2 linked regions of the Cricetulus griseus genome follow. The protein of the gene in region 1 interacts with the protein of each later gene in a biochemical or structural test. Links are inferred from orthologs where the notes say so. Each region holds a gene or a part of one and is shown on either strand. Other genes may lie near its edges.

Region 1 (3,813 bases):
AGCCATCTCACTAACCCCAAAATAGAAAGATTAATTGTCTTCTTTTTTAATTTTGATTCTATATTCAAAGCTATTCAATAGAATGTGTAAGCTGTATCTAATAGAAAATCTGCAGGGCAAATGCCTTTGAGGTTTTCAATACCAGAAATGCCAATGCATTTTACCTCTGAAAATTTGTCAGCTACCATATAGCGAACCCGCCAAGATTTATCTTCTGCTGCTTGCCGAAGTGTAGGCATTACCAAGGCCTCAAGGTCATCCTGGGACAGTAACTGGGCAATACTGACACAAGCTTCCACGGCTAGCAGGCGCACAGAATCCTAAAGGAAAAACATTACATTTGGTCAGTTTGGTCAAACAGGGCGCACTTCGTGTAGTGAGGCCATGCTCTCACAGGTACTGTTTAAGAAAGAGGGAGAGAAAAACTACTGTGCTGGCTAATTTATGTCAACTTGATATAAGCTAGAGTCATATGAGAAGAGGGAACCTCAACTGAGAAGATGCCTCCATAAGATCCAGCTGAGGCAAGCCTGAAGGTCGCTTTCTTAACTAATGATTTATGGGGAGGACCCAGCCCATTGTGGATGGTGCCATCCTGGGCTGGTGGTCTTGGGTTCTATAAGAAAACAGGTTGAGCGAGCCATGTGGGGTGCAAGCCATTAAGCAGCACCCCTCTGTGGCCTCTGCACCAGTTCCTACCTCCAGGTTCTTTCCCTGTTTGAGTTCCTGTTCTGGCTTCCTTCAGTGATGGACTACAATTGAGAAGGGAAGGTTAATAAACCCTTTCCTCCCCAACTTGCTTTTTTGGTTATGGTGTTTCATCACAGCAACAGAAACCCCAACTAAGACAACTTCCAAATATGTAACTTCTTCCTTTGCATGTGAAAGACTGCATGTGAAAGACATAAAAGTGGCACTTGGTTCAAATTATCTTAACTGCAGCCAGGTTTTTATTAAATAAAATGAAAAGGACTTGCTAAAATCTTACTTATTGCAAGTGAATGTGTGTGAAGTCAGAGGACAACCTCCTGGAGGCAGATCTGCCACCTTCCCGTGGTTCTGAGCACTGACATCAGGCAAAAACGCTTTACCACTAGGACATCTGAGTGGCCACAAAATATAAAGATTGATTTTTAATTTAATGCTATATTCAAAGCCTTATTACAAGAAGTTAATTAATAATGTACTTAAGAGTTTAAAGGACAAGGAAGATCACTTTGAAAGCTACTTCCAACTACTCATTGGCCATAACAGTAGCATGAGACGGAATGTACAAAGGAAGACACAAAAAGAGTGAAAAGTTAATAGCCAAATAACAGAGTCAAACTGAAATGCTGAAACTCAAAGAGAGATAACCATGTCTAGTAAAACAGCAGAGGAAAACTGGAAAGGCAAGTTGACAACCTGCTTTTCCATATATAGAGTTGCTCAATGCCAAATGGTACACAAGAATGTCTTCTGAGTAAGAGAAAACACAGAATTAAGACTCAATTTGACATCAGGAGTTATGACTTCGGACTTTGATCTGGGAAGATCAAAAATAAAACCCTATGAATACCCAAGAGAAATGGAGCAAGAAATTCACCGCATACGTAATACAACAGAACACACACACACACACACACACACACACACACACACACACACACACACAAATACAATAGAGTGCATGTGAGTGTGTGTGTTGACGCAAGCACACACACAAATCCAACATAGCACACAAGCACCCTCATCTCTTGCCTGGTTTATCAATATCACCTAACTGGCCTTCTCTTTCTATTTTTATACTTCCTACAACTTTGTTTCCACCCACAAGCCAGAATGACCTTTCAAAAATGTATACTACACGGCACACCTCTTCCCCAGATATAGGTAGAGTCTCACTGCGTCTAAAGAAAAAAACTCCAAAACTGGAGTCTGCTGTGGGCTACCGATGCTCCCACCGCTCCCTTCTCCACTCTCCCGCTTACTGGACTCATCCAACCACCATGCTCCAATGCTGGTGTTTTCCTATTTCATGCCCTCTCTTTACAGGGCTCTTACGCTCCTCGAAGGAGCGGAGACGGCATTTTCTCTCAGCTGTCACTTCTTCAGAGCATTCTGCTGACTGACGGTCAGTGTTCTGTTACACTATTTCCATGACATTTACGACTGATTTTTATCATGTTCATTTTTCTTCATTAAAATGCAAGTTCCATGAAAGCAGGGTCCCTGTATGTCCTTAACACTAGAACTGTGCCTCACATATGTAGGTACTCTATGTAGCCACTCAATAAATGTTTCTGTTAATGAGTAAGCCATGAGCGGATCTACCAGTTGTCACAGAAGGCATAGTGTATACATATTTCCTAACAAAGCATTCAATATTTTTTGGAGGAACAAATGCTAACAGCCTGCCCCACCTATAAATTGGTGAGTTTCATGTCCATTGGTTTCCATACTCTGTGGCTGCTTCAGCCACAACAATTACAACAGGGATATATGATCCACAGAACTGAAAATATTTCCTGGCTGTCCTTCACCAGAAAATCTGCAAACCCCTAGTCTACTACTTTGCAGGAAGTATAGAAGATAAAAGAAAATATCAAATTATGCCATGGGAAGTATAACCAGCTAAATTCCAAATAAGGATGCTAAGCTTGCCCTGCTCCAACATGGAAACCACCATGTATGTGTGGCATCTGCATGCTTGAAATGTTGCCAGTGTTCAAATTATAAGACTTAGAAATTTGGAGCTGAAGCCCACATACATTCAAACCCCAACTGCACCACAATTAGCTAAATACAGCCTTGAACAAGCTTCATAAACTAGCTGGACCTCCATTTCCTTGAGTATCTATGCCATGGGCTGTTAGGAGAACCTAATTCCATAATACATGCAGCTACTTAAAACAGGCTGGTAGATAACAGTCAGTCTGTGTCCATGGTTTCCCCACATCAATGGAGTCAGCCAACCAAGGATCAAAATATTTGGGAAATTTTCTTTGTCTGTAGTAAATATATACAGACTGTTTTCCCGTCATCATTCCCTCAAGTAAGTAGTATAACAACTATTTACAGATCATTTACACTGTGGATTTTTTATTTATTGTTTGTGAGAGTGTGTAGGTACACACACACCACAGCACATATGTGGAGGTCAGAGGGCAACTTTCAGGATTTGGTTCTTGCCTTCCACCTTGCTGAGCTGCACTGTGCACCCCAGACTGGCTGGCCCATGATTTTCAGGGTGATCCTCCTGTTCTCTGCCTCCCACCTCACCATAGGAGTTCTGGGATTGCAGATGCATGCCACCATGTCCAGCTTTGTATGGGTTCTGGGAACCAGACACAGGTCCCCAGGCTTGGGCAAGCATCTCTCCAGCCCTACTTTATGTTGATTAGGTATTGCCAAGTAGCCTGAAGGTGACTTAGAGTAAGTACACAAGAGGATGTATACAAGCAGTGGCAAATACCACACCATTTTATATATGGAAACTGAGATCCAGATGACCCTGCAACCATCTCCACCATCCAAACTGAAAACAACTGTATTAAGTAATTTAGGGGTTGCTGATTTTTATCGTTTCTACACCAAAGAAACCAAGACCCTTAGATCTAAGATTGCTATTGTGTATAGTAATGCCATACACTAGTGTAGAAATTAACGAAGTCAGGTTTCCAGGAAACACTTCACCTCCATATCACAATACAGCTCACGAATCTGAAAGATACCCGTCCCTGATGCAGCCCTGAGATTCCTAGTTATGGAACCCAATTCATCTCTGACTCCTCCTCCTAACACCTACTAATGTAAAGAAAATGGGGCCTGGTT
Region 2 (4,377 bases), on another chromosome or scaffold:
AGTTCAAGGCCAGCCAGGGATTGTCTCAGTGCGTGCGTGCGTGCGTGCGTGCATGCGCATGTCTCTCTCTCTCTCACACACACATACACACACACACACACACACACACCACACACACACACACACACACACACACACACACACACACACACACACACACACCCCCCCAATCCCAGGGATTGTCTCAGTGCGTGCGTGCGTGCGTGCGTGCATGCGCATGTCTCTCTCTCTCTCATACACACACATACACACACACACACACACACACACACACACACACACACACACACACACCCCAATCCCACAAACCTGCAGTATTTCTGAACAAAGAAATAATGTAACCATCCTTTTGGAGATTATCTGTCTCTAACAAAAAAGATTGTCTCAGAATGAGTACAAGGCCTTCACATTCCAAAACTTCAGAGAAGTTCTAAAATAAATTAGCAAGGTTCTATCTCAAAAAGTCCCCTAGAAAAGTGATTTATTATTATATCTTAACTGCACATATGAATCCCTGAAAGATAATATAAAGTGAATAATTTGAGCCAGCATTTTTTCAGCAAACATGTTAACCAATACTACAGTCACAAAGTAGTTAAGTTCAAAAGAACTTAAGTCTCCTCATAGAATAAAAGATTTCTGAGCTAAGTGTTCTTGGCATCTATTCCTGCTTAATTATCTAAAGACAAAACACAAACATCCAAGTCCAGTTATTTGCATGTAGAATGTATGTAACAAGGAAACCTCAATTACAGGAACCTCAGAGCACTTACTGCTCACCATTTACTTCATTAACTCAATGAAAAAATAAAACAAGACAGAAAAAGAGATGTAAAGACTTTTTCAGAAAGATGATTTTTAAAACTATTGTCCCACCTCTTGGACAACACAAAACATTCTTCAAGGCTCAGTTTAGTTCGTGTTCCTTCAGTACACAGAACTTAAGTCAACACTCAGTTGTCATGGTTAAACTTTCTTACCTTCTGCTACATCATCATCTACTGCTCCTTTCACCTGAGAAAAACACCATTGAATATCATTCCCTCCTCCAGCTCCTAGAAGAAGAAAACATAGCAATTAAAACGGAGTTCTGTTCTGTTTACTCTCATAAACACGGAGATGGTATCTGAGACTAGCATGATACTACCCACATACACAGTCACCACTGAGCCCACGAATTTGGAACCAAATAAGTTCTGACAGCTGGTAGAGCATTCAAAACAAGACTGCAGGTATGAAATATTCAAAGGCATACAGTCTATCAATCATTATCATCGTAAAGATATTCAAAACCTCATTTCCACTTTCCCTGCCCCTTGAAGACAAAGCCTTTCACGTAAGACCTACCAGAAACCAAAGTAAATACCCAAAGTTAGTTTTCCTTTAAATGTGCAAAGGGCTAAACTACCATGAAATATAGAACGAAGAGAAAACTTCGGGAACATTACTTCCTGAGAGGAGGAGTGATTCATGTGAGCCCTACCACCGAAGCATGGACACAGCAAACACAACACCCATTTCTTTGCATTCATTAGGCGCAAATCACTGGCTGCAGACACAGGAAAAGGGGTGGCAATGAATGCCTGGTCAAAGGATGGTCAAAGGATGCTGACTCTGCCTCCTTTCACCTAACCAGAGAACCCAAAGGGCCCAGAAAGAGCAACTTTGCTAATATGTCATCTCCTACAAAACAGTTCCAATTATCATTTCATTGTTCGGCAAGGTCAAAGGGCAGTTTGTTTGTATAGTAAATGGTAAATCAGCCCAACATAACTTCTTTAGAAGTCCTATTATCTATGCAAATATGGAAAAGACAAGGAAAACTGGTTTAATCTCAGACACTGCCCGGGACTGAAAAGGAAATTGGGGGGGGGGGGTGGCACGACACTCCTGGATTTCTGGGAAAGAAACTGAATCTCAATCTAGAATTACTCTACTAGCAGAAGGGCTTCAAGATCAAAATGTACAAAGATAACCGACTCTCAAAGGCTATTAACCCTCGCTTTTCCTTTACCTGTTCCTTGCTAAATTATTCTCAATCAGGGTTTCTCCGTGCTTTTCCCCCACTGCAAGCTTTTATGAAATCTCTCTCTCCTCTTTCTCTCTCTATTTATATCACTGAACTCCACAACTATTTTAACTCCGAGAAACCCTTCTGGGAAAAGGACATCTGCACGAACGATAGCGTGCAAAATGCAAAGTTTAAATTACCTGTTTCTCCCCACCTCCCACCCCAACCCTTAACAACTTCTATTAAAGGCCTAGCACTCGTGGTGACAACGACTAAGTCATGGGAGGGAGCACAGTCGCCACGAAATTCAGGCTTACACCCTCAAAATCTGACCTAGCCATAACGTGTGTGTGTGGGGGGGGGGGACATATGCCTCCATTGTATTTTAACTTGCAAAGCGCTCTTCCTTATCCGTGCAGGATATGTTTCTGCAGGAAGGCTCGCAGCAGACGAGGAAGAGTGGAATGACTATGTGCGGAGGAGCGGAGGGAGCAGGGTGCAGAGGGGACCCATCTGCACGCCGGCACCCGCCCCACCCACGCAGGCCCCCACCCCCACCGCACCCGTGCCCGAGCCCGTGCCAGGCCCAGGGCCCTGCCTGCAGGCCCCACCATCCCAGCCCAGTGCCAGGCCCGCCCGCCCGCCCCGCACTCGGCCAGCGCCCCAGGCCAAGGCCCCTCCGCCACGGTCGCTAGGGGGTGACGGAGAGCGCGCAGAGGAAGCGGCACCCTGTCAGCCGGCCGAGGGCCGTTTCTCCTTTACCTGCCATGTCGTGCAGCAAATGATGACCCTGCCGGGCTCCTCGGGGTCTCCGCGACCGGGGCTCAGCCCCCTCACCTGGGGATGGGGGGATCGAGGGCGCGGATGGAGGCGGATGGCACCTGAAGGGGGAGGGGACGGGAATCGGGGCGGAAGGGAAGCGGCTCAGGCGGAGCGGCCGGCAGGATAGAAGCTTTCACTCGGGGGCGTCCCCTCTCGTGATCCTTCTCCCCGGTGGGCAGCGGCGCGGCGGCGGCGGCGGCGGCGGCGGCGGCTACGACAGCGACGGCGGCCCGGCGGCAGGGGCAGGCGACTCCACTTTCAAAATGGCGCCCGCTGGCTGGCCGGTGACGTCACTCCAGGGGGCGGAGCGCCTTTGGGGTGGGTCGCGCTGTGTTGGTCACGCCTCCTTCCTGCCCGGCTCTCGCTCCGCCCCGCCCGCTGTGACCCTGCTCTGAGCTCTGCACCGAACTGGGGCAGTGGTTAGTTGCTCTGGCTGTGGACTATGCCAAGTTGGCCCACAGTGCCCAAGTGGGCCGGCAGCTTGGCCTGTCTGCACCTCACACTGTCCCAAAGCCTTGCACCAGGGCCGGGACTCCAGGATGGTCTCATCTGTCTACTTCTCACCCACAGGGTGAGCTGGCTCTCCCTGGAGAAGACCCTTTAGATGCTCCAGCGACACTGGGTGAGCCCCAGGGACACCAAAATAAAGGGACAGTGATGCATACTCGTTGCCTGTCCAAGGTGAGAGTTCACAGAGCCCAGAAAGACACAACTGGGCTGGTTCCATCTGGGTGAAGTAGGTTACCTTCCCATGGATGAGAGTTCTTGGCTACCGCAAACAGTTAAGAATGGCTCCCGACAGAAAGTTAAATGTGTTGTGAATGGCACAAAAAAAAAGTGACTCAGGTCTGTTCAGATAAAAGTGGTAAAATCAATGATTGAGAATCTATATTCTGCTGGCTGTGGTGACACATGCCTACAATCTCAGCAGCACTTTGTGAGGTGAATGTAAGAGGCTCCAAATTTTAAGGATACCTGAACTATATAATGAGTTTGAGGCTAGCCTGGGCTACCTATATGAGACCCTGTCTCACATACACACATCAAACAAAAAAGGAGAAGAAACTAAATCTATTTAAATGTAGCCTCTTCCAGTCAGACTTTTCTGACAGTTTCTTCCATTTCCGGCTCACCTTTAGCTAGGTTGGGTGCCCTTGTTTAATAGTGTCAAGGTAGTAGTGGTGATGCAGTCCTTTAATCACAGTACTCAAGAGGCAGAGGCAGCTGAATCCCTGTCTGAGGCCAGCCTGATCTACAGAGCTAGTTCCAGGACAGCCAAGGCTACACAGAGAAACCTTCTCTTGGGGGGTGCGGGTGGGGGTAGGAGAGATACTCTCAGGTCCAAAGGAAACTCCAAGTCTCCAAACTCCAAAAGGCAGTCCAAATATCCAGAAATGAGCTCAACCTGGACAATAGGAGGATTTCTAGCAGTTAGATAAAAGCTAGCATTCCTCAGGAACTTGTGAAGGTATTTCCCCTCTACCAAAAAAAAAAAAAAAAAAAAAAAAAAAAAAAAGAAAAAAGAAAAAAAAAAGAAAAGAAAA

The links.
Region 2: the proteins of Ppp2r1b (region 1) and Ppp2r2a form a complex in vitro, tested with the Homo sapiens proteins (2 studies listed by BioGRID). The link is inferred for Cricetulus griseus from reciprocal best matches to the Homo sapiens genes PPP2R1B and PPP2R2A.

Annotation. Positions count from the first base shown.
Region 1 is NC_048597.1:162,634,821-162,638,633, reverse strand, and holds part of Ppp2r1b (serine/threonine-protein phosphatase 2A 65 kDa regulatory subunit A beta isoform), read right to left. Parts: intron 321-3,813; coding exon 165-320; intron 1-164. UniProt on the Homo sapiens protein: The PR65 subunit of protein phosphatase 2A serves as a scaffolding molecule to coordinate the assembly of the catalytic subunit and a variable regulatory B subunit.
Region 2 is NW_023276807.1:222,050,839-222,055,215, forward strand, and holds the start of Ppp2r2a (serine/threonine-protein phosphatase 2A 55 kDa regulatory subunit B alpha isoform), read right to left. Parts: upstream 3,084-4,377; 5' UTR 2,781-3,083; coding exon 2,774-2,780; intron 1,056-2,773; coding exon 981-1,055; intron 1-980. UniProt on the Homo sapiens protein: Substrate-recognition subunit of protein phosphatase 2A (PP2A) that plays a key role in cell cycle by controlling mitosis entry and exit. Involved in chromosome clustering during late mitosis by mediating dephosphorylation of MKI67.